3 linked regions of the Lonchura striata genome follow. The protein of the gene in region 2 interacts with the protein of the main gene of each other region in a biochemical or structural test. Links are inferred from orthologs where the notes say so. Each region holds a gene or a part of one and is shown on either strand. Other genes may lie near its edges.

The links.
Region 1: the proteins of TLK1 (region 2) and MBP form a complex in vitro, tested with the Homo sapiens proteins (2 studies listed by BioGRID, with this or other methods). The link is inferred for Lonchura striata from reciprocal best matches to the Homo sapiens genes TLK1 and MBP.
Region 3: of the proteins of TLK1 (region 2) and ASF1A, one has a biochemical effect on the other in vitro, tested with the Homo sapiens proteins (3 studies listed by BioGRID). The link is inferred for Lonchura striata from reciprocal best matches to the Homo sapiens genes TLK1 and ASF1A.

The regions. Positions count from the first base shown.
Region 1 is NC_134603.1:59,595,929-59,606,469, forward strand, and holds the start of MBP (myelin basic protein), read right to left. Parts: upstream 4,531-10,541; 5' UTR 4,508-4,530; coding exon 4,457-4,507; intron 1-4,456. UniProt on the Homo sapiens protein: The classic group of MBP isoforms (isoform 4-isoform 14) are with PLP the most abundant protein components of the myelin membrane in the CNS. They have a role in both its formation and stabilization.
Region 2 is NC_134610.1:20,254,403-20,264,991, forward strand, and holds the start of TLK1 (serine/threonine-protein kinase tousled-like 1), read right to left. Parts: upstream 4,609-10,589; 5' UTR 4,528-4,608; coding exon 4,380-4,527; intron 3,948-4,379; exon of another isoform or gene 3,906-3,947; intron 1-3,905. UniProt on the Homo sapiens protein: Rapidly and transiently inhibited by phosphorylation following the generation of DNA double-stranded breaks during S-phase. This is cell cycle checkpoint and ATM-pathway dependent and appears to regulate processes involved in chromatin assembly.
Region 3 is NC_134605.1:65,191,792-65,202,602, forward strand, and holds the start of ASF1A (histone chaperone ASF1A), read right to left. Parts: upstream 3,991-10,811; 5' UTR 3,673-3,990; coding exon 3,564-3,672; intron 326-3,563; coding exon 210-325; intron 1-209. Other genes in the region: DNA helicase MCM9, read left to right, coding at 6,966-7,140, 9,358-9,560, 10,645-10,811. UniProt on the Homo sapiens protein: Histone chaperone that facilitates histone deposition and histone exchange and removal during nucleosome assembly and disassembly.

The sequences.
Region 1 (10,541 bases), on a different chromosome or scaffold from region 2:
TTTAATCAATCCATGAAATAGCAAAGAATGCACCATAATAGTTCCAGTGCTCTTTACTGCTTTACAGGAAAGAGTAAAACTCTGAGAAAACATATAGCTACACTGGAAAATAAAAATAGTGTTATACTACTTTGCTAGGGGGAAAAAAGTGAAAAGGCTCCGTGATTAATTTTGTATGGTAATAAGATTATTTCTTTATGTTTATTTTTTACAGAAAAGTGTACCCCAGACTTCAAAATCCATACAATCTCTATGTCACAGGCAGATCCATACAATATAGATCCATACAATCTCTATGTCACAAACTGTCTGCACTAAAAAATAATAAACTTTTATCTTACAAAAATAATACTTCAGAGCAACTAACTAAGCAAGTAAAAAGTACTTCATCTGTTGTTTTTTTCCTTTTTTGATAATTCATGATGCATACCAAGAGGAAGCACCTGGCAGAAACCACACATACAGCTCAGACCTGTAAGCAGCCTAAGCCATGAGAGGTAGTGAAAGCTTCATGCTTGCAAATCGCTGAGCATGTACGAGATGAACAGTTCAACTACCACTGTGTTCCAGTCATCTTAAGAATTTCAACTCCCTTTCACCAGGAATAGACAGAAAATTTTCAATCAGTGTTACCCCACTACAGTCTTAAGACAGGGTCCTAATTTCACAACATTAACAAGGTAACAGGGGAAAAAAAGAGGAGAGGAAATAGAATCTCCTCTAAAGCAGCATAGAAACTATCTGATTTACTGATACATGTTCACTGAAGCAGTTTAGCTTGAACTAACTATGCTGAACTCTCCTTAAACACTGAGAACCAGTCAGTTTATTAAAGTTACATCAAATCAACCACTGCAAAACACATTGTAGAATCTAGGTACATAACACAGGGCAATTAAAGGCAAGATTTTTCACAAGTTGATTACCCAGCAAGACTTCATCATTATTAACAGATTATTTTTAGTTCAAAGAAAACATTAAATTGCAGACTGAATGCCTATTCATCATTATGTCTGTTTTCAGTTTTGGCCTGCAATTACATTTCCACGGCTTTTCAGAGCTGGGTACCAGAAGTGGCAATTTGGTTTGGTTCCTTGCTGTTTTCTTACAGCACACGCCAACTACATAAAGGACATGAACCAGGCAGATAATCCAGCATTTCCCATAATCTAACATGTCCCAGGCCTGTATAAATTTCTTGAGCAATCCCTTGACACGGCAGGGCAGCGGGTTTTGATCCTTCACTATAGGTCACAACCTTGATTTCCAGCTCCCCACAGCACTATGTAACCATGGAAACCAGACTATGTGGACCAAGTGCATTTGGAAGTTGCTCTGGAGTAAGTGGGACAATGCCAGAAACCTTCCTTCCAAACCCCTCTTCCTGAACAATTAATGACATTAAGGGCCAGTTTTGACAGATAGCAAGACAGTTCAAAGATATTGGGATGGCAGTAATGTGCCATGCAGAATTCTTTAATGAGGAGTAGCAGAGAACTGTGCTGTTGTAACATAGGCAGCTTTAGTCATTGTAAAAAAAGATTGTGCCACTTTGTAGTATAATGATGACAAATTAGCACACACCAACTAGAACGCTGAACCAGTAAAATTCCAATGTCTATTTTCACTCTTCTACATGTAGCTCTTTGAGAAGTTAAAGAAAATCAGGACAGCCTATTCTTTTTGTTATTGTTGTTCTTAGATATATTTATGTTAAGTTCAAACTCAAATATTAACACTAAGAAGAAAGCAAACAAAATAAATACTTAAACATTTACTAACACATTAAGCAGATGCAAAGTCTAGTATCATTCAAAGTAAAAAGAAAAGATAATATGCTGGGTTCATTGCAGCATTTCAACTCTAAAAAATGCATATCCATTAAACATATGAGGAAGAAATTCCAAAGGAATGAGGTGGTGTATGCTATTTCTGTGAGTAAAAGAAAAGGGTTTTGTAAATACTCCTCCACATTAGGTCAAGTATTTTTCAAAGTATTCACTTAATTTCACAGTATCTCATTATTTATTAAATAATCGCTGTAGCTTGCCATATTGATATCTCAAGAGGCGAACAATATTTTGAAGGAAGTGTCAGAGCATGGGAAGCCATCTTAATGTCTGCTGTAAATTTCCTAATTTGAAAGCATGTTAGTGTCAGCTTAGACACTTCATTAAGTAATTGCTTTCCAGAAGTCCATTTCTAATTTTGTAATACAAATACACAAATTAAGTAAAAGTAAAGTTAAGCTAGATGTCAACTCCAGAAACCACCAAACCAATCTAATAGTAATTGCTGGATTAAAGGACATTTACTGGACAATCAAGCACTGGGATTGCTGCAATTGGCAACAGTCTCTTTAATGTCGCTTCATGTAAAATAGCTCTGTGGAGAAATGGTCTACCAGACAAGGAGCAGTACAGTGGCTGTAAATCTGACCTCAAAGGTTCAAAGAAGTTGCCTAAAATCATGTTTTTCCTTTGGACCTACAGTTTTGGGAGAGGTAAACAGTAAATAGCCTGGAGAGTCCAAGTAATGAAATTTAAATCCATAGTAGTGCCTTAACTATATATTTCCTGACCTTAAATATATGACCCTATAATTTCTTGTGGCAAGATTACTGTTTTAGATAAAGGGAGATCATGCACATCCCTGTGCATAAAGGGAAATTTTGATCAAGTACTGACAACTTGAAAGTTTAGGGGTTTGGTGTTTTGGTTTTTTACCCTCTAGGTGGTTGAATGAAGGACAGAAGATATTATCACAGTAGAAAGTTCCTGCTTTGCAAAATAATTTTGGCAAATTAATTTTATTTTGATTGCAAAATCAAGTATTCTCTATGAACTGATGGGAGAAAGAAGGAATTTTAAAGAATTGCAACAATCTATTTCCTTGTAGTTCTGTCCTACATCCCAAGTGCAGACTCATGGTCACCTGACTCTCGCTCACCACAGAATTTGCACTTCTTGCATAGGCTGTTACAATTTGAAGAATTTTTAGATTTTGAAGCCAGATGTGCTGCACAGCTCAGCCACTTGCCATCCAGATGCCTCAAACACATGTGATCCCACAGCAGGAGACAAGATACAATGTGGGTTTTCATGCATATATATATATATATATGTATATATATATATATATATGTATATATATATACACACACAATTTTTTTTTACCAAATTTTATCCTCAAAGACCAAAGCAGGCGTATTTGGTGCACTGCAGCCTATCAAGCTCTGTAAACTCAATGTATCATACCTGCAGGATCTCACATGCTTACTCAGAAAGGATCAAAATATCTGGCTAAATGTTTCTGTTTGGTGCATTTCACTTTTCTGCACAACTGAGTTTTCTAAAGGGCAAGTCTGCAAGACCAGCCACCACAAGACAGCAATTTGAGATTCATACTATTGTTTGTACTCAAACCAAAACCTTGGGCCACAGAATCATTTTGCAAAACACTGCACCAATACAAAACAAAATTGTTCCTGATGCTTTGTCCCTGTCCCTTCCAGTGTGACTATGCATTCTCCTAAAGGAGATGGCAAGGAACTAATAAATGTATGAGTCCTGGTTTGTATTCCTTTTGGGGATAGCTGATAATCTGCCACAGCAAAGCAAAATACCCACACTGCTCCAGATAAAGCCCAGAACTATCTGTTTACATTTTATGTCCAATGCAAAGGGCAATAGCTTTATAGAGTGTGGGCTTAGACTGTAAACTGTTATTTTTGGATAAGGATGTGTGGAGGGAAGATAGCAATAGCTAGCAACAAGCAGTGGGTTTTGTTTTTTCTACTTTTAAATATATGTAGAAAGATGTTCTGTTTTAAGATGTGTGAAATCTCTTCCGGTACAACACAGAAAAACAAATAAACAAGATATTATCACAAGGCAAACAGAAAACCACATTATGTGCAGAATACACAACAGTGTCAGCAGGTGCTTAGGAATCCAATACTAATTTTTAATGAACATTTTTACAGATCTTGTATTTTTTTTCCCTAGGAAGGAGATTTTTAAATCTGTATCTATTTGGATTGACAATCTTGTCCTTTAAAATCCTCTTATTTTACCTATTTCTTCATAGTGTCTTACAGACGAAGCCAATTTTATTGCTCAAATGAAACACTGTAAACACACAGAACATAACTCTGCTCACCAACTCTTAAAAAACTCTAGAGTATCTTGATTCCAAGTCCCTTTAATTCGTCTCCACCATGACTGAGAAGATTATTATCAGCTACGGATCAAACATCACATCTCTCACTAAATCCAGCACAACAAAATCTTCATTTGGCCTGACATTCTTTCAAAAACATGGTCATTTTATAGTGTCAACTACAAAATAGTAACAGTAAGTTATCCGGCAAACAGCTACTGTCCTAAAAATCCCCTGTAGTTCACAGAATACATATTTCCCAAATGGCTCTGTCTTTTCCATTTTCCACACTCACCTTGGTTGACTTCTCGGTGCTATGATCTCTTTTTCCTACATGGTTCCCCATGATGGATCACCAAACTTTAAATTCTGAAAAGATAAAAACAAAATATTTTTGAAACCAATACATTTGTAAAGAAATACAAATAAATTTTTAACCTGACACATAACAAAGAAATTTTTTACATTCAATGAGAATTTTTACAATCCAAGGTAAGATCTGTGAAAGGTCCTATGGAAAAAAAAAAAGTGTTTATTTGGTCTATTTTGCACATTTAAGCAATATCAGAAAGCTTTCCTAGTTATATTAAAAAAGAAAAAAAAGACATTTAAGAGAAGGAAGAAATTAAAATATTCTTTTTGAAATGGGCACATAAAGAAAACTAGATTAGAAATTAGGTAGAGGACCTGTCTTTCAATATTATGTTTTTAATAACAAACAGTGCAGTACATATTAAAGAATTTGTAACTATAAACTTCCATAAAAGTTCAAGTAAGTTCTTTTGAATTCAAATTTACCACTATATAAACAGCAATTAGTGAAAAAAGCACCACACTAACTGCTAACAATTTGCTGTGGAGGTAATTTGCTGTAAACATGTGAGTTGTTTACAGCTCCCACTTTCATGATGGACACATAAGAAAGTAATGCCAACTCTTTCTTCGTATTTTCTGGCTCATCCTGTTCTATCTCAACATAACAGAGCTTATGTAGGTTAAACCACAACACTCAAATTTCAGCTTTTAGAGCACGCTTGTGGTTGCGCCACATATTTCTTGTCATAGAAGCAGATGTCTGTATAGGATTTTGCAGCTGCTGCCTAGAGATGATTTGAATGCAGTGCATCACAGCATTTGAAGTAATGAAACTTAAAATTACATGCATGAAATAAAGCAATAAGCTACACAAACTCATCTATTGTTATAACCCCAGCTCCACGCACTGCTTTGTGTACAAAAGGGTTCTAAAGACAGAAACTTTGCTTTTGACAAAGCACACATCTGTGATGGACCATCATAAGTAATCTAGTCTTGTATTTCTACTTCAGCTTTTGGAGAGACTGGTAAATTTATTTACGCACACACTTTACCACCCCACCCAAACCCCAGTGAGAAATTTCACATTTTGAGAGTCTACAGTGCTCATTTGGCAATTCACTGAAATCAGTTTTCTCTAAGTTCCATGTTATCACTGTATCAAATTAAATAAGTTGTCACAAAAACCCGCTTCCAAAGTCTCACAAAATCAAAATTAAAAACCATCCAAACTCAGTAAATGCGCTCATAATAAAATTTATTGCTAAACTGGAAATAGATTTTTTTAAACCAGCACTAACTATTGCATACAAGATTAAAAAAAAAAATAAAAAAACCCTGTACATTCCAACTGTGACATCAATACAATCAATTCACCCATTTTTGATATTCTAAAATTTATCAAGTAAAAATAAAGTAAAAATAAAAATAAATTCTTATACACTGGGTTTTGGACCTAAACTTCCTCAAACTGTCCTTTGCTCTACAAATTATGAGCAACAGCTCATTCCTCATCATCTACCTCCCAACATAAGGAAAGCAGAGTGGAATACAAAATTGTAAGACATGTCTACAGCACAATATAAAGGCAAATATTCTAAGTGTTATTCTTCCAATCATTTATAAAAAAAATTACTATAAAATTTGGTTGATAACACATATATGTCTAAGAACAAAGATGGTGAAGCCAACATAACACTTGCAGATCAGATCTGTGATCCTGTCCTCCTGCCTCCCCTTAGCTTCCCTCATGTCTTTGGAGTAATGCTCCAGAAACAACCACCCTGTACCCATAAAACAGTCACAGACAGATTTTACTTTATTTTTTAATTTCATGCATAAATGAATGCAGGTGCTTGAACTGAAGAGAAGTTAGCTACAGGTAACTGCTATTAATTCCTCAATTTATTAGCAATAAAACTACTTTTCAGCCAAAGGGACAAAAGCAACCAGCCACTAGCAAGGATATCATAAGTGTTACAGATTTCTTCATGCTACCTATTAAACAGTGAAATCTAAATAATCCTTTGGCAAAGAAAGGATTCCAAGAATCTGACATGAACTGTGAAAGAAATTGTATAGTGCAAACTGCCCTGTAGCTATCTGATTAGGAAGCAAAACTATACATATACTTGCAAGCATTTATACCAACAAAGACTTAATTTTTCACTTCAGCCTCAAGCAGAAATCCACCTTACTTGACTGAAAACTGAGCACACAGATTTCAGTTTAGGATGAAACACTAAGACTTAAACACTGACTTTAGTTCTTACTGTCGGGAGGGAGACCACACTGCACAGTTTCTACCTGCGCCAATCTTTATGCAACGAGTTGAGTCGCTGACTTCAGTGGGATTACTCACTTTTACAATCTCTGTAGGAACTTGCAGCCAACTATTCCAAACATCTCAGCTGGAAAAAGATGAATACTTTCTTTTTAGTCACCTTCATAATGTACAAGTTGCCAGACTGAGCAGCTCTGTATGAAGTGAAGAAACAGCTTTTTACACTTCCTAACAATGTCCATCAACTGAACAACACTCTTTGCACAGAATCTATGAATGATTCAGCACTGACGAACAGCCACAAGAACAGTCACGGTGCTCCAAGCAATGAAGAAACAGAAGTACTGAGGAAATGAAATACCTTCTTTGAATCTCACATGAATCACAACTAACAATAAGATGCCAAAACAGGCCCGCACATGAGATCAAGCCTATGACCACAACAACATTTGCCAAAACCCTTCCTAGTGAAACCCTGCAAGTTTTGTAAATCCTATGAGATGACAAATTTTGCACATGAGCTTGAGTCACAAATGAGAGGGGACACTGCATGCCTGCAGTGGACAGATTTACATTGCCAGCTCCCCTATAGAACTCCGCATCAGGAATTACTTGTTCCACATTAAAACCATCTGAGCGGCTCAGAAAATTAAAGGCCACATGAATAAACTGATTTAGCAGGACTAAAAGCTTGAAAACACTTCAGCTACCTAAAAACTCTTTAGGATGAAGTGAGTGAACTGGGGGAGGAAGTTGTGAACCACCACTGCGGGTGCCACCAGCAGAGCCATCCGGCTGCCTCAGCACTATGGCACAACCACGTACTGAGCTGAATCAGCTCTGCTGTCATGACCTGGCACTTCTCAATCCATGGCTGGTACAGCAGTAACTCCACCTATGCCAGCTGCTTTGAGTAATTCCAAAAACAGCAGAGGGATTTTGCCTGGGGAAATGAAATTAAGTGTCTCCTCCCATTAATTCACCTTCTTACAAAGTTAGTCTAACAGATAACCCAATGGAAACCTAGACCAAGCAGCTTTTCCACTTTCTTCACAGCAGGAACCCATATTCCAACTAGGAACTACTACAGAAATGCCAGTGTCTTACCCAAGGAGAAAAACCTGTATTTCCAAAACTCAAAAAAAGAAATGAAAAAACTCTGTTCTACACAACACATATCTATAAAAATACACTTATGTTGGCATCACATAATTTATCTTCAACTGAGCAGTTGATTAAAGATAGGGGTTTAAAAACATATATCATTGTAGTGTTCTTTTAGTCCATTCTAGTCTGCCTGTGGCTATTTGCAGCTAAACAAGTAATGCTCCAGGAACAACCACCCTGTATCCATAAAACACTCACAACCAGATTTTACTTTATCTTTTTCATGCATGAATGAATACACATGCTTGAACTGAGCAGAAGTTAGTTACAGGTAACTGCTATTAATTCTTCACATAGCAATAAAACTACTTTTCAGCCATAGGAGTCTTCCCATACACAATATGTCCTATAAAGAAGTTTATGATTTAGAATTTTCACTAAAAGGCAGAAAAACACTCCTTCAAACTTTCTGAATACAAAATAAATGCAATGGCAGTCCTTTCTGCAGGTTATGCAGATTTAACTGCAAAATAGCATTTTCTTACTCACAGGAGCCTGAAAAATGTTCACCCATGTAGTCATCAGACTTTAAATAAGTGATTTTGTAATTGAGGAGTCAAAACAGTCTGTAAGCCAATCCACATGGAGCACTTCTATTGAACATTAATGGTTACTTCAAATTAAAAAGCATAAACTACTGAAAGTGTACCACCTGATGCTGAAAATGGATTTTTAAATATGATCTTACCTCTTCCCACACATTAATTATGACTCAACAGAACTACATGTAATAATAAAGGTATGCAAGGACTTACATATTTACAGGTATCAGAACATAATTACTACCTTGTCTAGGAATATGTATTCATCATACACTGATGTTGGGTAATAGTGCAGAGCTACAAGTGCTCCTAGCCTTACTCACACATGGGAAGGGTAGACAAAGAATATAAAAATATTTGAGGAATTTACTTAAAACTTCCTGCTAAATTCATAACTATTCTTACACAAGTATATATGACACTTTAGTACTATATACAGATCTTATCAGAAAAACAAAAAAAGGGCAATTTCTTTTAAAAAGTGTGCAAGTTCTCTCTCATTCTGGTAGACTCCTAATGTAAACTCTTAATTACAAACTTACCCAAGGTTTTGTGGTATTTTTTAGTTGTTGGGGTTTGTTTTGTTTTTTGTGGGATTTTTTTTGTGTCTGTTTGGTTTTGTGTTTGTTTGTGGTAGTGCTGGGTCGTGGCTACATAGCTTCCTGGGAAGCAAGCTGACACATTGCAGAGCAGTGGCTGCCAGCTAGATGGAAATCTTTGAGTGGTTTGTTTAGGCTCTCAGTGTGATACACATCTTTGCAAGGAAGCCTTTCACTTCATCATCTTTCAAAACAAGACTGAGGCACTGGGCATGCCTCATCTGTTTCTTCAGAATTCCCTCATCGTGGTAACCTAATATACCAGCTCACCAAGAAAGAAAACCTCCAGCAGGCAGAAATGAATGACCTGCAGCTAAATCCATCAGCAGCCACAGTCAGATGCTGCATAGACAGATGTGAGGAACCATGTAACTAAAGTAACCTGCCTCATGGACAAACTGCTCCACAGGAATCCCACCCTCTCAATTCAACTGTTAAATCATTTCTTAAACTATAGTGTTTTAAATCCCTTACAAGTTTCATTGTTATTTAACGCAGATATAATTTTTCATTATTGTGAAAGAGCACAATACTTCCTAAATTAAACTTCATTTCACCTTTGACTTCTAAGTTATATTTTTCTGAAAGAAAAAAAATTATTCCAGACATTTCCATAATGAATTATCAAAACCAAGATCTCAGTGGTGACCATAGCCTATAAATCAGAGAAGTCAACAGGAGTACATACAGATGTATTTAATCATGCTTGTACAGTGTCTTGCATATCACAGTCCTGACCTATCTAGATATTACAGGAATTTCGGTGTTTACAGATAACTGCATGTACCTTAGCAAGGACACTGGGCCTAGAAAACCACTCCTCTGAGAGACTAGCCAAGCTCTGAAATGCTTTTACCTGAAAAAGTACTCCCCAGTGCTAGCACACTTGCTCAGTAATTTATACAAACTTCATGTTTCATTGCAAAGGACACCAAAATTATTTGATTTTCTCTCGAATTTTCTGCGGTGCTGTGGCACATAAGAAAGGCTACAACAGCAAGAGAGAACATATTCTTTGAAAAAATGTTGTTGCAAACTATTTCCTAAAATTGCCATAGGGTAAGCAGGACCCAAGGTTTAAGATGTTTCCTGACTGTTTTGATTATCATTTTCTTCTATTGCCAACAAGAAGGATATTCCACATTATTTTTTGCCAAAAGCATGAGATTTCCAGGAATCTCACCTCAGTACACCAAGCATAGTCCAAATTTGATTCTAGACAACAGTGCGATAACAATGAAATTGCTAAGTCACCTTTATTTTCTCTAACACAAGTTTTTCTTGCTTTTCTTTCCTTTCTTCCTTCAACCCACTCCACTTGCCTTGCTAGAGTACCACCCACCCTGTTCATTAAGAAAAACAAAATTTCTCAGCAGGGTTTTTCTACTTCCCAAATGGAAAAATGCTCCCCTAAGGTCATGTAGCACACACTGGTGCCTACATTCCTTTACGCAAACAGAAATCATCGATGAC
Region 2 (10,589 bases):
AAAATATGCCATCATTTTTAAATACAAAAAGTGTTCCTGTTCTTCTCTGGCCCCATATAAACTAGCCAAATCCATAAAATTTTTAATCTACAGTTGAATGATAAAAGCCAACAAACTTACTGAGAACTTCCTGTTAAAGCAAAGTAGCTGAGCTTTTGCACTATGTGCAAACAACAGAAAACAACAACCCTGGAAGTTTAATAAGATTCAGGTTGCTTTCATGTTCATGGACTAATATATTGTACGCAGCATACAGATGCAACCTGGCATCTAGAAGCATTTTCTAGACTGGAAACTTAAGGAGGAAATAAACTGTACCTTTGTGCTCAGACACATAACTACCATCACATTTTAGGTAACAATAAATACAAACAATACACATTTATCAAATTTTAGGAAAAAAATCACCAACAAAATGTGCTACTCATACAATATAAGCTCTTCAAAGACTGTCAATACATGGCATAAGTTTATTTACCATTTTGCCATCATATACAAATTCGGGATGAAATTTGAAAACTGAAATTTGTATTCCTGTTGTGTTAATTCGAAGTTCTATTTGGCATTCCATTTTGCTTTTAGCCAACAGCACACATAAAAAATAACTTACAAAGCATTATGCTTAACTACCAGACACTGCAGCACCACCCACCCAGTGAGCCAACCATGTCCTAAAGCAGCATGTCTATAATGTGAAGGGAAGGGATTCTGCCCCTCTACTCCACTCTACTGAGACCCCACCTGGAGAGCAATGAAGGACACAGACCTGCTGGAAGAACCCAGACAAAGGCCACAAAGATGATCAGAGGGCTGGAGCATCTCTGCTATGGAGACAGGCTAAGAGAGTCGGTGGTGCTCAGCCTGGAGAAGGCTCCAGGAAGACCATACAGGACCTTCCAGTACCTAAAAGGGGCCTATAAGAAAGTTGGACAGAGACTTTTTACAAGAGCATGAAGGGACAGGATAAGGGACAACAACTTTAAATAGATACAGAGTAGATTTAGATTAGTTATTAGAAATAAATTATTTACTTTGGGGGTGGTGAGGCTCTGGAACAGGCTGACCCTCCAGTAGCTGTGGAGATGAGTGTGCCACATGCCTGGAAGTGTTCGAGGCCAAGCTGAATGGGGCTTTGAGCTACCTGGTCTAGAAGGAGGTGTCCTTGCCCATAGCAGGGAGCTGGAACTAGATGATCTTTACAGTCCCTTCCAATGCAAGACAACCTATGGAATCTCTTCTGACTCTGCCTTGTCAGCATTGGCCTGAACATTCTCCATTTACAAAACAGCACTCTGCAGGTATGTGCTTTAATATTTTTAGTTACAGACACAAAGCAGACAAAAGTAAAGAAACTTCAAACAGGAAATGGCTTGACTGCAATTATGTGAGCGATGGCAGAAGATTCAGTCACACAACCACACATACAGTATGCAAAATAATACTGCATAACAGTCCTCCTAAATTCCTGATAACATCTACTGCAGGGCTCTTAAGTGACCACATATACCACACGTAAGTTATGGGAATATAAAACAACTGACAGAACGACAGACATTTACAAGCTACACTAAAATGCAAACAAGAGATAGTTCTTATACAGTAAAAGTGTACAGCTGCAACTGTATTCAAGTCCATCCCAGTCTTTTCATTTCAAAACCTCAAAACAAAAAATCAAATCAATACAGCAAAGCCATGAGGCCACTCTAGATCAAGATATAGAAGATAGCATCCAATGGAAAATGTTGCTGCAACGTTGCAGCACATTTTAAAAGATTAAAATATTTTTAAATTATTATTTCCTCTAATTTCACCCATACTTCCCAAGTAGTCTCTTGATATTGACAAGATATTGCCAGTTTTTTAAAATGTGTTTGTGCAATTGTCATATATGCTAGAGCTTTTATTTTTTGCTTTTTTCCTATTAAGAGATTCCGAAAATACTTTTAGAACTTCCTAAATCAACGTGCAGATGGTTTCTGCTCTTAATAAACCAGAATCTTCAAATGCCCATGTGAGACATGTGAGCTGATACCAGACCTTCATAGTTGAGGTCAGATCAACCACAGCACACTTGGTACACTCCATGAAGGTCTGCACTTCCAAAGGCAACAGGGACATAACTCTCACAGGAGACAACCAAAGGGATTTAACCCAAAACAAGAAGGCCAAGCTGGGAAAGAAGCTCTGCACAAGTGCCAAATGCGCTGTATGGTAAATATTACCCACTCAAAACTGGCACCAGCAGCAATGCAGCTGGGATCCAGTGCAGGCTGGCAGCCTTGTGCACTGCTCCAAAACTCACAAGCCCCAGGTATCACAAGTTTAGAATTGATGACAGCCCAGGCTCCCATAAACACACTGTACTGCAAATACTCCTTGCTTATTAGTTTGATCTGGCATCAGTCTTTCACATATATAAGCCAATGCCTATGAACATACTAATATATTTATATTTCAGGGCCTACTGATTTCTGGCAAGCTACTTCTTTGTAAACCATATATAAAGTAAGATGCCTTGATAACATCTCACAAACATGAATGCAAAACATGAACCCAAGCACGGCAGCTTATGCTTATTTTCAAAGAGAGCTACCTAGTGAGGACACACAATTTAAACACAACCAAGGAACACTATAAAAATACAACACATTATAGTACCAAACAAACACCAAGGTATTGATTACTTTTAACCCATAATCTGTATTAGAGGATGCAAATTACAGTACCTGGAAAAATCCAACAGCCTGAGTTGTAAGAAAGAAAAATGTAAAGAGCATATAAAAATGAGCTTCACAAAAAATATTTTTCTTGTCTCAACAGAGCTACTCATGGACCACCATTTTTTGTTAAAATAAATAGATAGATAATTTATATTGCAATAATAATTTCAAATTTAAATGGCAGGTATTTGAAATACATCCAAAAATATCCTACATATACATATTATCTGTATGCATATTCCTAACAAGAGCTGCAACAGTGAAAATACCTGCTCTCAATAAACTTAAAACTATGAATTTGGCTGCTGATGGTTTTTCTAACAGCTTTGGTTTCCCAGAGAAGACGAGCACAAAATGCCTGCCACTTTACTCAGCATCTTTAACATATACCATAATTCCTTCCCAGGTATTTTCTAGAGCATTTCATGTCAATCTACCTGCAGGAGCGTGTGCAAAAGTGACACAGAGTGATACAAGTCTGACAACTACTGGTGTGGAAAATGGAGAAACCAGACTGCATTATACATTTTAAGGACGTCGAATCCCTGTTACTAAGTCCCTATATTGCTTATCAACCAAATAAAAAACCCAAGAAAACCCAAAAAGCAAGCAAGCAAGCAACCACAGGAAGACCTAAAAAACAAAGACTCTCCATCTTCGCAACTATTTCTATTTTAAGTTAGCAAGTTTCCTGCTTGGGCGATGACGTTCTGCAGAAGCTACATGGTATTCATTAATCTGGGGCAAATCAATTAAAATTATACAACTGCTCAATATGCAAGCATTTGTGCATAAAAGTTCTCCTCCGCCACTAACCGGCGTTCGGCAAGTAGTTATTTTAGCTAAAAGCGCCGAACAACTCACTAGCTGTAAAACTGCTACATCTTGTGGCAACACAACACAAGGAGGAAAAGCAGACAATACCCGAAAGGGAACAGCGAAGGGACTTGTTTGCTCATAACCTTCATACAGATATTCCCTGCAAACACCCACAACACCCTGCTGTCGCTGTCGGTGTAACACAAGAGGGGAGGAGCAGGGGAGGGAGGAGAAAAATATTATCATCGAAGGCGTGATGGAGGACAGGAGAAAGTTGCAGTCATTCCGTGGCGGCCGCAAGGCGCCCTGTCACTTCTGGCCGCAAAACCGGCCGCCCCTGAGGGCGCTTTCCCCACGGGGACGAACCTCCGGTGTCGGCCCCTCTCTTCCCACCTCCATGATGCCAAAAGTGCCCAACTCCCTCCAGCAACAGCGGCTGCATCCTCCGGCGCAGCACTTCTACTCAGCCGCTGGCGGAGGGGAGCCTATTTCGGGGAGGACGCGGCGAGCGGCCGCCCGAGGAGACGCGAGCGGCTGCGGCAGGCGGACGGCCCGGGGCCGGAGGGAGCACGGCGGGTTCCCCTGCGCGGCCCGGCGCGGGGGGTAACAACGAGGCGCCGCCGCGCCGACGAGCGGGCGGGGGCGGCGGGGCCCCGCTCGCCCAGCGACCGAGGTTCCGCTCGCCACCACCGGGCCCGGCGCTGACCCCGCGCCGCCGCCGGGGGCACCGGCCTCTCCCGCCGCCGCTTCCCAGCGGCCCGGGACCGGCCTCCGGCGGCGGCGGCCGGGCCCCTCCCCAAGGGCCGGGCCCCCCGCGCAGCCCCGCGGCGCGCTGGTTACCTTCCTTGGGCGGCTTGCCGGGCGGCGCGCCGTGCAGCTGGGAGGCCGTCGCCGCCGCGGAGCAGCCCTGCAGGCTCGGTGGGGACGTGGAGAGCCGGGACCAAGATGGCGGCCCCTCCAAACTTCCACTGCTACTTTGGACACTCATCAAGCTACTTTCCTGGAGCCCGGCAGCCGCCGGGGGCGGCGGGGAAGGCGGCGCGGCGGGGGGACACCCAGCGCCGCGCTCATGGCCGGGGGGCCGGCCCGACACCGGCGCGGGGAGGCCGCCGGCTGGGAGCGAGCTCCGGAGGCAGGCGGGGCGCGAGAGAGACGGGGCGCGGGGCCAGCGCAACCTGCCCGCACCTCTGCACTGCGTCGCCGCCGCCGAGCAGCCGCCTGTGTCTGAGGCCAACCTTCCCCGCCGCCGCCGCCGCTGCCGCCGGGGAGGGGAGGGGAGGGCGCAGGCGGGGAGGGGTCATGCGCAAACACGATCGCGAGCCGAGCGAGCGCCGCGCTCCGCCGGCGCCCAGCCGAGCCCCGCCGAGCCGGAGCCGCCCAGGGGCGGCCGGCGGGAGCGGCGTCGGCCGCGCACGCACCTGCCCCCAGCCTCACCGCGCCGCGCGGCCCGAGCTCGCCGGCTGCTCCCGCCTCCGGGCTCCGACCCGGGCCGGTTCGCAGCCGCCCGCCGGCTGACCCTTCTCCCCGTGCACGCCCGTCCCGCGGCGATACCTCCCTGCCTTGCTCAAGCGCGCACCTTCCGCGCCGCAGGCGGCCTTCTGGCCGCCGCGGCCCGGCCGGAGCTAGCTCCCCTGAGGCCGCGGCGCTCCCCTCCGTCTCGGTTTCCCCGGCGGCACGGTCCGCCCGTGCCGCCGCGCCTTCCCCCGCGCCCCGCCGCCACGGCCATGGTTGTGTCGGGGCGGGGCGGCGGGGGCGGGAGCGGCGGCGGAGACGGAGACGGTACGCGCGGTGCCGGGGCCGGGGCCGGGGCCGCGCCGCCCCGACACCTCCCCGGCGTGCGGCCGCGCGGGGCCAGCCCAGCCCGCTGCCGGAGTGCGGGCGGCAGCGGCGGCGCTGAGCCGGCGCTTCCCAGCGCGATCCAGGTGAATGTTGTTCAGGCAGCATCGCCGGGAGCTCTCGGGCGCCTGCCGCTTCTCGGCGTTCCTTTTTCCGGACAGGATGGTGTGCCAGCAGAGACTCGGCGGCACTCGGGAGAAGCTGATGTCCCGAGGGAGAAGGCTTTAGCTGCTTCGCTGAGGAGCGGGAGCTCCCATCGGATGAACTGGAAGTCGGGCAGGAGCCATTTACCAGGCCCACCACCTCACCCGCTTCAACCGCCAGGCTGGGGCTCCCAGGTGGGCACCAACAGCGACCTGGCAAATTTCAAAACGTCTCTCTTTGCCTTGAGTTTAGAGACTAAAGTGCAAACTTCGCCGAATTTTTCCGTTTCTTCTTCCTTGAAATTAACATAATAGTGACCGAGAATGTGAGATATATGGAAAATCACTTCTGAAACAAAGCCTTTTAATTTGCCAGTGCAACTGGTAAATATATTTTTTTATATTTATATATATAACAGGGATAACAATGAGTTTGATTACTTACAAAAAATCAACGGGTTGTGGATATATTGCATTTTATGCATATGAAGAATATATCCATCATTCAGGCATGGCACTTATTTTGTGGTTGCTGTGTGGAGACATCCTGTCCATCTACTAACCTACTTTCCCTTCTATTTGAGAATGACAGGAATAGATTACTAATGTTGGATTGCAGTTCTCTGCACAACACACATATTACTAATTCTGTCTCTTCCTTTTAAAGTGACATCTGTGAAATTATCTAAGATCTTCACCTCCCACAAGTATACAGCATAGCTGGAAGTTTCTTTACAGTTTGGTATTAACTAAAAGTAAAAATTAGTATGTTTGCTTGCTAAACAAGTCTGTTCCAGGGCATATATCTAGTTATATATATATATATATATATTTAAGAGAGGTGATATGGTATTTCAGCAAGGACTTGCTTTTAATAAGGACTTGATCCTAAAGACTTCTCAGACTTTACATAAGCAAATTACATCAGGAAATTTCCAATACTTGGGAATGAAGTAGAACAGTGCTAGTTCACTCTGACTGCAGTATTAATACTTAGCAGCTGGTATAGAATATTCTTGCTAGGTACATAATCCCACAATCCATGATAGCATAAGTGAACATGCACCTTGTTTCCTGATTAATATATCCTGCTGCAGCATGCTTCTTTCAAAATCTGCTAAGTAAAAAGCAGTAAGTGAAAGAAATTAAGAAATTGTCTCTTTGTTTATAGCTCTTTGCATCCACTTCATACAAACCCTTGCTATCCTTACAAAACCATGCATAAGCAAGCATTCTTTCTTCCAGTTTTGCTTACTAACTGTTGCCTACAAATCATTCTACTGACACAGTTAAGACTTCTTGTTTAAATAAAGCATTATTTGCCTTGATTAAGGTAACAGGACATCATGCAGAAGATCCCGTTCTTTATTTCCTCTATCAGACATGCAGATTAAATATTATAAAAATGCTGAAGTGTCTTTTATATTTTCAAATATTGATGCTATGAAATATAATCAGACCTTTGCCATCTCATAATGTGTTAGACAACACCTCATCGAGAGACCAGGAGTAAGTGGGCATGCACTACAGGACTTCCCAGCAGAGCACAGTACCTGCTGCAAAGTATGGGTTGAGTCTGCATTTTGTAACATAGTAGAGCTGTATCTCTTGGTTTCATGAATTGTTGATGTAGAGATTGAAAGCAGAGTGTAAATTATATAGATCATCTCCAGATGAAACAACATACATAACTTCAAGAATACATGGAGCTGGGTATATTCCTCTCTTTAGTTTACAGAAAACCTACTTTCCTACTGAGTTAGAGCTGACACTTTTTTTAAAATACCCTTTTATTTGTAAAGCCCCATTGCTTCAGTGTTATGAATTTAATACTATCATGGCAGGAGAGAAACCTTCCTCAGTACCTTTCAGAAATTTCAAATTTCAAAAGACTTCCCTTATCAAATAGCATCGTAAATGTACATAATGCTTTTCCTTGAATGCCCTGTGTTTCTTCTGCAGTAAAACTTTATGATCCAGTGGCCAGAGAAATGGCCTTTTTCTCACAGTGGTGAACAGTCAGTCAGCATCACCTGCCCAAAATATTAAATACTAAATCCAACTCAAATAGTACTAAGTATTACTAATTATTTTTTTAAAATACAATAAGTATTAAATCTTTCTCTTTGCCTTCTAGTTTTTAGGAACAGAATAGTCTGCTATCAAGGTTTATGTGACCACTGCATACCATTAACATCAGGCATAACTTGAGGTAGTAGATAGAGGGAATCAACTTTCAGTGGGATTGCTCTGGATAACAATGAATAAGGTGCCACACACCTACCTATAAGGGAAAACTTGACTCCAGGTGAAGTCCCAGGAAACTCATTTAGTTTTGCTAATTCCTAAGGAAGAAGACCTCAAAACTCAGAACAGAAAGGAGTGAAAAGTGTGTGTGCTGTTTTTCTCATAAGAATGTGTCAAATGAAAGTTAGCAATGTTTATGGCAGTAGTAAGTGTTTAATTGAGGATAGTTGAAAAACAGAAAAGCATAAGGAATTTTTCTTATTCCAAAATCCTGAAAAGCATTAAAATTGTAAGAGCTTTCAAATTTGTCACTGGAATTATCAATGCAAGAAACTTTAATCACAGTAATTTCACAATCTCTAGGAAGTAAGAGAAGTTAACTGGCAAATAGCAAAGGAAGATGCTTAAAGAAAAAAAATTAATGGTCTGAATAGTGACAATTTTTGGAGACATCTACCTTGCATCTATAAAGATTACTGTGTGCTCAGGTCAAATGTCAATTACAAAATTTCCACATACATCCTTTAGAGAACAAAGAGACATCATTTCAAACATTACACAAAATGCAGAGTTTATCCCACATGTTCTTAAGGAAGTCTATGCTATGACTGTGGGACAAGTTACAGAGATATGGCAGTTCCTTCCCCGTTCTGAGATCTTCACCTTCATTGTTCATAGGCACCAAATACATTATGGTGTCCTCATGAAAGATTTGTATCTAATAACATCAAATATTGCATATTGTTAATAACTGCATATATTTACTTCTGTTTTTCCCACTAAAGTCAGTTTGCTATTAGCTGGCTTAGGTTTCATGCAAACAGCAGATACTGCAACACCGAGGCGTAGTGACTGACCACGCCAGGTAACTGATTATATAAATAGTGGATGTTTACACAGAGGTTCCAAATAAGACCATTTTTAAATTATGTCAGTAATTAGAAGGAAGGCCTCCAATTCAAGAGATGATTGGAAGAAGTAGAGGTAGAAGAGGAAATTGATTAAGCAGGCTGGTTCTTTTAGGAAAGAAAGTGAAGTGTTACAAGAAATGACAATATCCCTGAAAAGTAGTAAACTATATGCTGAACCATAGGCTTCCAAACTTAAATCAGCCTCTGTCAGCTACAAATCAGGGAAATGGCAGGAGTCAGAATTCATTAGGGTCTTTACCTCTGATGCTTTTGGCATCTATTTTACATGTAGCTTCTTCCATCTCCTTGGATTTGGCGCAAGACTGTAGAACAACCAAGACTTAGAATCCTTTGATTTATCTCCTCAATTATTTGTAAGGCCAGTGAAATGGAGGTTTCAAATTCTTTGTTAGTTCCTTTTCAGCCTAACACTAGATAATAGACCCATAGTAGTATTTTCTTAAAGCATAAGCTTTTACAGTATGCCTCACTGTGTATTTGCCAGTATTTATGAATTTTATACATAAAAATATGTACACACATGCACTCACCTACCCTATATATAGAAAGACCTACACACATCCTATAGCTATGCCAACACCAGCAGCCAATCTCATTTAACTAGCATAGTAGAAAAATATTCTTGAACTACATGGACATACTGGTATAGTACCTTGTGTATAAAATGCTGAAATCATTTCACCATCAAAATTATGTATTTCTGACATTTCTAGGTTAGATGTAATACAATATGCTGCAAAAACATAACAGAAAAAAATGTCTTCTGTCTTGGTGAGTGCTAGAAGTTTGTCCTTCCTTCTCCTAACACAGCTGAGCACATGTATGGACCCTCCCTGGATCAGACCAACATGCTCCTGGCCAGTCTGGGTTGGGATAATGACTAGAATCTTCCAGTCTGTGTTCTGTAGGTCAGAAGATTCAGAATGCAGTTTTGACACATTCAGAATACCATCTCAGATTGGAACAGCTTCTGCACCTGTTTCTCACAAAGCATTTCTATTTATAAGCAAATAGGAATGTTGCAATTGTACTAACATTTATTTTAAAGTTTAGTTAAAGTTTTCTAAAACTGGTTTAGTGCAATAACACTTTTATAGGAAAAGGTTATTTAGAATTCAAATCAGTTCTGAGGCTCACTGACTTAGAGCTGTATTCTTAAGCCATATAGTGCACTACATGCTTTACAATTTTTTTAATATGGCACTTGCTGGCAACTCTGAGTTGCAAGGTAACAAAAACATGCATAAATAATATACTAGAAAATATATCTCCTCTACCAGCTTATCAAAATGCAGAGAAGCTAGAAGGAAAACAATATTATCACATTAGGTCTACATTTAAGAACTAGACACAAACACTGTGTAAACACAGACCTATTTTTATCATTTATGTAATTGTCATAAACTGCATTTATTATACCTTTAATATCATCACCATTAGTCAGATCCAGTGATCCACCTCTGCTATAATGATTTTTGTTCCAAATCTTCAAGAAGCCTGCAAACAACTTCCTGTCAAAACAAACACAAAAATTAAACAGAATTTGGGGGATTCTTTTTGCCATGCAAATAATGTTCCTTTTGACTCCAGCTCTAGCTACTTTGATTATTAGCTACAATCCAGTCAGAATCAAGGACAGTTTTACCATCTTCTTGTTTATGTTATTTTAATAAAAAATAATTTGGTTTTAAATGTTCCCTGGTGAAGAAATTAAAAAAAATCTGGATGGATGCTACATTCATTTTCTTTCTCCCCATCTGTCTGTTTTCATTTTATTATATTACTTTTCTTCCCATGTCCCTTGCAATCTCCTTGTCTGCTCTTCCCTGCAATTTTCTTCTACACTCCGACTATTCCTTTTACAATGCTGCTCTCAGGTAAACAGGCCCCTC
Region 3 (10,811 bases), on a different chromosome or scaffold from region 2:
TATTATTGATACCACAAATAAAAAATATAACCAAGAAGTATAAGGGGCAAGAAGTACAAGCTCAAGAACAGAGTTTAAAGGAAGGCATATCACAACTGAGGAGCTCACTGCAATTTTTTTTACCAATATTTTTCAAGTGCCTCTTAGTTTGATACAGTTATCCCTAAATAAATTAGCACAACTTTTAGAAAGAGCTAAATCAAACTTACCTGAAATACAAACATGTGTCTTCCTGCAGGAACAGGTCCAACTAAAACAGAGTCTAACACCTGATCATACTCTTCACTTTCAGCTGAACCCACATAAATTATTTTCCATTCCAAATCTACATAAAAAAGAAAAAAAACCAAACATTATTTATCATTACAGTTAGGGGGCCTTCCACTCTCACCCATCTACAGCTTTGCATAGCTAGAACTACTTCTTTGGCAACAAGCCTAAAATAACAAGGACCTGTCTTCATCAGAAAAATTTAGTGATGCATGACCCTGTCCTCATGAACCAGATCATCCCACTTTTTCTAGTCAGTTGTATCACAGGAATCCCTTTATTCTAACACTAAGGTTAATTTTCCTAATTTATACAGAGAACAGGGCCTTTTTACTGATTGGGTGCTGTGTTGAGCATCTTCTCAAAGTCTGTCAGAATGGCAGCAGCAGAGGGATAATGCCTATAAATCATCACATCCTTGAATACTGACTCCCAAAACCAAAATTCCCACCCTCCACACACACACCTCACAGCTTAAATAAATTACATAGATAATGGAAAGTAGTTAATTGAGTAAGAAACCCACTGGGTAAGCTCCAGACACACTAACTCTATGCTCCCAATCCTTCATATGTCACTTGTGTTACGTGGGAACTACATAAAATTTGATAGCATGACATTAATTTTTTCTAACTCGGCCTCTTCCCCACAGATGTTTTAAAGTTGAAACTGCAAATTAGCCCAAATTGGCTCTTCCTGGGTCAGCTTTTCACCTTCCCTTTTTGATTCAAAAACCAGTTATTATTTCACACATACAAAACTAATCTTGGAAGACAGATTTTGGGGTTATTAAAACAAGAGGAAAAAAATGACCACCATGACAAAAAACTGTAACACTTCTTAATTACTGTATCTTAAAAACTTACACGGTGTTTTTCTTTTTTTCCCCCTTGTGAACAATGCCTTGATTGCCTTTGCAAAAGCACAAACCTGTGAGCTATTACATTAATTCGATTAGCACACTCGGCAAAATCCAAAGGTCTGCCTCATGGTTTCTGGATGCAGGAATGGAATTTAAGCATAGAAAAAAAAAATTAGCACTTGGAACAGAATTTGCCTGCTTTAAGTTCGCAACTCTCTTTTCTCATTAGTGAATTCTTCTTGCTTATCTTATTTACTATTAGTGCAGGTTTAACTATCATAATAAACAGAGCAGCTTGGGAAGGGATTTTACTCCTCTGTACAACATATTTTCCCAGGTACTTTATCAGTTTTATATACCTTTTAAGCATGAAGCTGTTGCTAGTATTGCAGGGTACTCATCCAATATAATTAAGGAACTTTCTTTTCTGCATCTGACAACAAATTACTACTTAGAAGAAGTGAGGACTTCTAGGCTAAACTGCTTAAGACTAGCCCACAATCCTGTGCCATTATTCTCGAACAGTGTGAAACTTCCTCTAAACAACTCATAGTATTTAGTACTAAAACTAGACCTTTTAAAATAAAGTTTAAATGTTATTTAAGTATGTTGACACAGAACAACAACTTTGAGAAAGAGAGGGCTGGAGTTAATGGATTTAATTTTAGGATCAGTGTTGCAGAGGAAAACAGCAGAGTAAACAGACGTATTAGCATAGGAAAGTTAAGGCAATGACTTTTCAGCAAGTAAACAATGTCTGTGTTTAATCTTATTTTTAAATGTGGAAGATAGCAGCGCTCATCCCTAATTTATCCTAGTGTCTAACTTCCATGTTGGTGGGGGAAAAGAACTGAGAATTTCGCATTGGACCACCTATAATTCTTCTTATCACAACTGTCCAAATTAACTTAATCCTGAGTGTGAGGAGCACATCACATACAGGAAAAGCCTAACATATTGCAGAGCCCCTGTGACGGGCACTGCCACTGCGGCTGCCACGGAGGGGCTCCGATGCTGCACCTCTGATGGGGCAGGCCGATCGGAGATAGCCAGGCAGCAACGTGGCGGGGCACGGAGCACAGCTGAGTTGCACGAAGGCAGGAGACAGGCTGCGGAGGCCCGGAGGAAACCCTGGCTCAGGCGAGACTTCCTCCGAAGTTCCCGCCACGGCGGCGTCCCTCCTTTCCCGCGCTGTCACCGTCCCGCCGGCACGCGCGAGTACGCGCTGCTGCAGAGGCAGGCGGGGAGAGGCGAGTTAAACCGCAGCGACAGCGAGCCTGCCAGGGCACCTTAGCCAGGACAGCAACTCCCCTCTCCTCAGCCGTGCCCTCGCCCCTCCGCCCGCGGGGCTCTCCGGCGAGCAGGCGGCGCCGGGCTCCGCCGAGCGCCGGCCGGGCAGCGTCCTCTCCGGCTCGCAGGCAGCCCGGCCGGGCGGCCTCCTCCTGCTCTGGGGCGGCGGCGCCCCGCATTGCCTCCCTCGCCCCGAGCCGTTCGAAACTCCCGCCCGCGGGGCGACGCGCGGCCTCTCGGGCGCGTCCCGCGGCCGCCCGGGGGGCGGCGCTGCGGAGCGCGGCCGGGGCGAGGGCGGCTCGCGGCCCGCCCGGCTCGGGGGAAGGCGGGAGCGCGACGGCGGCCGCGGCTCCGGACGGGGGTCCCCGTGAGGCTGCAAGGTCGGGGCCGGCCCCCACCCGCTGGCGGCTGCCGGCAACTTTCGAGTGACTTCCAAAAATAGTGGCAGGCGGGCGGCCCCCTCCTCCCCGGCGGGGGCTCCCGCAGCCAGCGCTCCCCTCCGAGCCGTACCCCCGACCCCGCGCACCTACGCGGTCCGCGGCTGCCTGCTGCTGGCATGCGGGGCCAGCCAGTCAGCCCGCCCCTACCTTCCACCGTGATTTAATTTTTTTTTTTTTTTTTTTTTTTTTTTTTTTTTTTTTTTGGTATTAAAATGGAGCACGAGGCCATCGAAACGCATCCCCCGGAGCGTTTTCCGCGTTTCGAGTACCGCCGGGGCTAAACAGGCAGCATCCCGTGTGCCCGCGGGGATGCGCGGCCGCCGAGCCCGGTTCAACCCTCCTGTCTCCCGCTCGCTCCCCCCACGCACACACAAAGCTGGCAACATGGCTACCTCCACTCTAACAAGTTCCTCGCAACTTGAGGCAGCTCGCCGCCTCGCCGATGGCGGGGAGAGGCGGCGGGCCCGGCTCGGCGCCCAGGGCGGGCGGACACCGCCAACTTTCCCCGGCGCCGGGCTCGGCGGGAGCGGCACATCCCCTCGCCCGGCCGGCACGTCCCCCCGGTTCGGCACGGCGATGCGGCGGAGCTGGAGAGACTGATAAATTGTAGGCGCAGGCCTGTGCAAAGTTTAAGCCTTAAATGCCCCGAGCTCAGAGCCCGGGGTTGCAAAATCCGTATCGGGGAGAAAAATTCTACTCACCTTCAGACAGGTCCTCTATGCACTCGAATGTGATTTCGAACTGGAAAGGATTGTAGAAAGGAGAAGGATTATCCAACACCACTACATTGTTCACCTGAACCTTTGCCATATTTTGGAAAAAAACACAAACAATAGGCAGAGCGTCTTAACGCCGCGCACTAAAGTCCTCCGTGCCGGGCTCCCGCACCGCACAAGCCCCCGCGCCGCTGCCCGAGCGAGGCTGCAGGGCGGCGACTTCCACAAACTTTTTTTTTTTTTTCGCCTCCCCCTTTTATTTACACCGGGAACGCTCCACACTGTTCGCCGCTTTCCCTATTTCGCTCAACTACAGCCCATTCTGCTCCTGCTCGCCGCCAGCGCCCGCCCGGATTGGCCGCTCGCCGGGCGAGGGCCCTCCCTCCGCGGGCACGGCGGGCACCGAGCGCCGGCCAGAGCGGCCTCCGCGCGCGCCCGCCCCGCGCCGCCCCCGCCGCAGCGCCCCCGCCCGGCGCGCGCCGGCAACGGCCGCCGGCAACCGCCAACGGGCCGGGGCGGGGCGGGGCGGGGCGGGAGATGAGCCGGGTGCGGCTGAGGGAGGCGCGGAACGTCTGCTGCTCTGTTTCCCGGAAAAGGACTGAGCTTATCTCTTTTCTTCTTCTACTTCTGCTTTTTTTTTTTTTTTTTTCTGTTTTTTTTTTTTTCTCTTTTCTTCTGTGTGCTTTAAAATCCAGGCAAGGGGAAAATCAGGAGGAACGATCTTACCACACAACTTGTCAGATCTCCACTCACGACCAAAAGGGACTCTACCTTATTTCAAAAGCTGTTGCCTTGTAATGATTTTATTTAAAAGAGAAAATTAAGTCCTAAGATGCGACTTCATTTCAATTGCTGGCATATAGCTCAAGGGACTGTGTTTACCCTGCCTACCACAATGACTTTTATTAAAATTGATAAGGTTTAGATTCATCTATAGAAAATGCATCTTGTGTAAGTGTATTATATTTAAAGTTGTGAACCATATGAGCTGAAGAAGAAATTAATTTCATTTCAGAATGTTCCATCTTCTGCAAGTTGTAAACAATGTAAGACCACATCCAGCTTGGAAAGTGCCCTAAGCTGGAAATTGAGGCTGGAAGAATAGTAGGGCAAAATAGCATACTAAATTAGAACCATGGGTAGAACAGTGACAAAAATATAACCTTTTGTCCATTCACTTTAGGCAAAAAGTTGAAGAATCACTATATCTCAGTAAGACAAAAAACTGCTTGCAACTACAGCTCATTTTAAAGTTTTATTTAACCTTATTTATAAAAGGGAAGATTCAGAAGTTTTTTAAATAATCCTAATTTTTTTTTTATATGCTAAGATTGTGCAGTATTGTATAAACAGCAACTGCAACACTGGCTGCTTGGGAAGAGGGAAAAACTACTCTCAGTCCAGCATTCATGATGAAATTGTTCCCAACACCTCCCAGAACAAGCACTTTTCCTGTCAGAATGCACAAAATGAGTCTAATCAAGTAGGAACGTGCATTAAGCTTTCACCATCCCCTAAGAAGAATGAAAGCAGTGATTCACTTACAGCCTAAACCATCTTGCCTGTGGTGCTCCACCGTGTGTGGAGGGACGCTCTCAGTTTGGGATCATTTCAGCACTTTGGGTTTTTGTTGTGCTTTGTTTGGTGGGTTTTTATCTTCCTGCTTCTGTGCTGGTTGTGCTGGGTGCTGGTGGGCTCTCGGGTGCCAGGAGCACCCCCAGCTCAGGGCAGTGGGGCCGGGCAGTGGTGCCAGGCTCGTGAGCCTGCAGCCCACGGCAGTGGCCTTTGGCCAATGGCCCGGGATGTCCGTACCGGGATACAGCTCCTTGCTGGCTGGGGAGCCCTGGGCACAGTGGGCTTTGCTGGCGGGGTGCTGGGTGCCCCGGGCAGGATGGGCTGTCTGCACGGCCCCGAGTGCTGCTGCTGAACCAAGCGTGCCTGTCACACGGCCGTGCTGTCAGGAAGCCATCCCCTTCCTCTGCTGGCAGAAGGCTGGGGTACCCTGAAGCACTACGAGACAGGACATTTTGCCCGGGCAGCAGCACTGCCAGCGAGAGGCCCTGTGTGCAGCTGGAGAAGACATCTTGTGTGGTGGCAGGAGCCTGCAGCAGAGGCCATCCCATGGCTGCCATGCACAGGGCACAGCGCCGAGCAGAGTGATGCAGCACTGCAGTGCCAGTGACGTCCCTCACGGCCCCGGGGAGAGCAGAAAGTGCCCGTGGCTCCAGGGGTGCAAGGTGTGTACCCCCAGCACAGAATATTCAGAAATAAATAGAGCAGCAGAATATTCAGAAATAAATAGAGCAGCCAGGCTCTAGTACTGCCTAGTACTCTGTGTTTCTGTATTCTGCCGTGTGATTGATTGCCCACGTTGTTCGGCACACAGTCCAGGAAAACCAAGAAAGATTGGACATGGTGGAGCAGAATTCTTACTACAAGTTGAAGTACATATTATTTTATCAGGAAGCATTTAATTCCAGTAACTTTTTGCTGGTCATTTGCAAACAAATAAGTACTATGGTGGGCTGCACAGTGATGAGAAGGTCTTGATGATGAGCCAAATGGTGAGGCAGGGGGGATTCTTGTGCAGTTTTTGCCGTAGAATTGCAGGAGATTTTAGGCTGGTTGCAGCTTGTCAACTACTAGGATATTTTGAGCTGAGCACTGGAATGGAAAAGAAGGGCTAAAGATAGAGAAGAAGCAGGGAAATAGGGAATAGAAAGATTGGAGGGAGCTGCACATACTAGCTAATGAGTGGACATTTCCACAGTAATGTGGGGGTTTTGTCTGGCTATCCACCAAGTGTTGTATCATGTGTATATTTACTGGAAAACTTTTTATTTCTTCCCTCATTTCATTCTTGGCCATCTTTGGATTTTCATTTTTGCCTAATGCTTAGAGGAAACCAAAAACTCATAAAGAAATTTTAATTTTATTAGTTTATTTTTTTTTCCAAGCTTTGATTTGAAGCTCCAAAATTTCTGTCCATTTTAATAGTTGATGTGGAGGAAGACCTGAATGGGTGCATTCCATAATTTTACAATTATTGCCTTTGCCTCAAATTTCAGTATGATCTACCAGATCTAGTATTCATACCCTAATCTTTTTTGTTCATTTAACAAAGTTCTAAAACAAGTCACAATCCAAACATGGGAAGCGTAACAGAATCCGCTCCACAGCTCCAAGCTAACCTACCTCAGCACTAGTGGGATTTACAGCTGGTAGCTGTAAAGTGAGTTAAGTTATGTGGTAGAAGTACATGATAGACCTTTCCTGCTGGTTTATCCTCTGTCTATGGCTCAAGCCACTGTGCTGGGTCCCTTTCTTTCACTCAAGTTTACTCTTGCATTTTAAGGAAGAGACTGACTGAAGTATTTGATTCTTCAGGTTTGACAGTGACTGCTGTGAAGGAATTTGGGGAGTGGAATTTGGAAGCTGGAGCACTGGTGCTTGCAGATGGAGGCCTCTGTTGCATAGACGAGTTCAATAGTATCAAAGAACATGACAGAACCAGTATCCACGAGGCAATGGAGCAACAAACCATCAGTGTTGCAAAGGCAGGGTAAGTGGCATATTAGCACATGTAAGAAACCAACACGAGATTTTTTTCTCTTGTACTTATTTGTTGGAGGGATGCTGATTAAATATATTTGTTTTCTTCATTGTATGCAATAGTTTTGTTGTCAACAATATTCCTAAACTAGACAAGTAAGCATTTCATAGGACAGTGCACTAGACCAGAGGCTACAAGCAATCAGACTAAATACATACCCTCTTCGCTGCTGGGTTTTCAATCTACTGCTACAGGATGGGGCACTTTTCTGCAAAGACTTGGCATTCTTTTTCTTGCCTTTTGCTACAAGTGGTTGTAATAATCTTATGTGAAATGAGAAGCTTTGTGACTTTTTTTGTTGCAACTCAGAAAGTGGGGCTTCATTTTTCCAAAACCACAAAATCACAGAGTCATTAAGTTTGGAAAAGATTTCAAAGATCATCAAGTCCAGCCTATGCCTGATCACCACCTTATCAACTGAACCATGGCACTAAGTACCATGTCCAGTCAATTCTTGAACATCTTCAGGGATGGTGACTCCACTACCTCCCTGGGCAGCCACTTTTTCAGTGAATAAATTCTTCCTGATGTTCAGCCTGAACCTTTCCTGGCACAGCTTGAGGCTATGTCCTCTTGTCCAGTAAAATCCAGTAACCTTGGTAACCAAAGCACATCAGGAGATTTCAAGGCTGCTGTATTTTCCAAGAGATTTGCAGGCTGCTGAATTTTATATGTTGGGTGTGGCATAAATATAAACTTCTGTTTACTTTAAGTCCTTCCCTTTCTTTTTTCAAAGTAGTGTGTGTTCAAATCTGCTATTCCCCATACTACCCCTTCCCACCACTTAGATCTTTGAGCTCATATTTCAATTTATCAGTTATATGCAGTTCTTATTCAGGCCCAAATTATTTTCTGGCTGGTATTTCTGACATCTCTGCTACTCAAAAGGCATCACCCTTTCCACATTCCTTCTTACCACCTTCCACTCAGCTCTTGCTCTAGTTGCATCTTGGCTTATCTACCTGACCATGTCCTTCCCTTATTCTGAGCATCTCCATCCTCTTCATCAGACAGCAGACAAATAATCACAGAAGATTCTGAGTTGAAAGGAACCCACAAGGATCATCAAATCTAATTCTTAAGTGAAGGCCTGTGTGGGGATTAAACCGATGACTTAGGTGTTTTTAGCATCATGCTCTTACCAACTGAGCTAAACTCAGGGTCATGTTGTTCTCACCTGGGTAATTACCAGCCTTTGCCAACTGGGCACAAATACGTGGATCAATATGGTCCCGTCTCCTTAGTAAGACAGGGACATATTTCAGCTTAGTTCCTTGATGCAGTTGATTGGATTTGATAGACCCAAACAGTTTGCTAACTTGCACATAGATGCTCAGTTGTTTAAGGACTACACATAATAAGGATTTTTTCAATAGCAACTTAGCACACATAAGTTAAGCACCTTGTTAATTTAGGTCTTATTTTGGTGCATGGGAGAATAAATTTTTTTCCTAGGCTAGTGGAAGATCTGTGGTCCTTCCTCTCAGTTACAGGAGAACTTTGGACATGAGGCAGCAGTTACTCAGGAGCTGACTAGAAATAGCTCAGTGACAAACCAAAATTAGAATGCTTCTGCTGCTGCCTTACCCAAAAGGAGTACATTTGGACTCCTAGAGTAAAAATAATCTCTCCTTATATCCACAAGCACATGCTAGGAAGAGTGGAAAATGGCTGTTTCAGTTGGTATGGTTGCCATCACTGTTAACTTGGGTTCATATTCTTTTTTATACACAGGAATAAAACTTACATTCATGTCACATTTTATTTTCCTCTCTTAGAAGATGAGTTAAGCTAAAGTGTTGCTTTCCAGCATTCAGAAGTGTTTGCATATTGTACAGTCCTGCAATGTAATATTTATTTCTGAAAAGTAGTGTCGGTTTTCACTATTTAAGGATCTAGCTATGTACAGAGATTATTTGTGGCGATGTTGGTTGGTGCCTTTTGGTATCCAGATCAGTGTCTGTCTAGTTGCTGTTCTCTGACTGGAAAATGATGTACATATAATAAATATTAATACAATAATTGTGTACGTTATTTAGCTCTCATGATCTTTCAAGATAAGATGTGGTTTTTATAGGATAAAACCACAGAAGTTTTTAAGCACTTTGAAATCCTTTTCCCTATCTAATTTAATTCAACCACAATGTTCACCATACCTTTCTCTAGCTTGGTGTGCAAGCTTAGCACGAGGACAACCATCCTAGCAGCAACAAACCCTAAAGGCCATTATGATCCCAATGAATCTGTCTCTGTCAACATAGCTCTTGGCAGTCCCCTGTTGAGCAGATTTGACCTGGTCTTAGTATTGTTAGATACAAAGAATGAGGAATGGGACCATATAATTTCATCCTTCATCTTGCAAAATAAAGGTAAGAGTAGTCTTTTTAAATCATAAGGTGTTTTGTTGGGTTGGGGATTTTTTGGGTTGGTGGTTTTTTTGTTTTTCTTTTTGGTTTGGTTTGGCTTTTTTTTGTTGGTTCATTTCTAGTTTTGTTGCTTGTTTGTTTGGGGTTTTTTTGCTGTTTTTAAAAATTATTTTATTTTATTTTCCACCATTTTTTAGTTTGCTATTCTTGAATCTTTCGAATTAATCAGTGTCTACATTTTTGTCCTGGTGGTTTTCTCTTTAAGTAAGAGTAACACAGATTACTAATTAATTAAAAGGTGCGAGCTGAGAACCCTCTACTTTTACTCTGGGATCATTTATAAGAGATTTCAGCCCAGGCTGCTCAGTAAGTGGATTGTTTCCATCTCGCACCTTTACGGTGTTTGATCTTCAGATCCTATATGCCTTGTAATTGTACTTGCTTTTAATCAGAAACTTAATTCAGTCAGAACAGATCAGAGATGCATGTGCAGCAGGGCTCAAAGAATGAGCAATAGCATTCCCCATGTGGAGCTTTGTGCTCTGGAATGAGGAAAGGCAGTGTGATTTGATTTTGACCATCCCCTTCCCCATCCACGTCATGGAACATGACTTAAATCCCCTTTACAGAAGAAGTGGTTAGAGGAGGCTCCTTTAGCTAGCTTCCTTAACTTTCCAAAATATTTTCTTACAAAAAATGTTCAGAATGTGGCAGGTAGCTCTTGGCTCCAACAGAGTAGGTGAAACAGGCAGAGGAGGTGCATACACTCATGTAGCATCTTTCATTCTAAAGAGCTCCTGAGCACTTGGCACTGCCTGTGCCATCTGGTGGGCAGTGAGGCTGACAGCAGTTCTATAGAAATAATGGAGGCTTTACTGTGGATTTTGATATGGGAGGGATCAGATGGTGTGTAAAACTCTCGACTGGAATTTGACCATGTCCTTGAGGACTAGTGAACAGACAACCGGTGTGCCCCAAAAGTACAGTGATGCGTCTTTCATAGTCACTTGTCTATTTAGCAGGAGTTCTTAGGAAGGAGATTGATGCCTGTTGTTACAGAATTACTGACAAGGGTGTTGTAACGCAGGCTGCCCAAGCAAATCGGAAAAGCTCTGGAGCATGGAAAGGATGAAGACCTACTTCTGCCTTATAAAAAGCATACAGCCAAAATTGTCTGATGAAAGCAACCTGATCCTTGTTCGCTACTATCAGATGCAGCGTCAGAGTGACTGCAGGAACGCTGCTCGCACCACC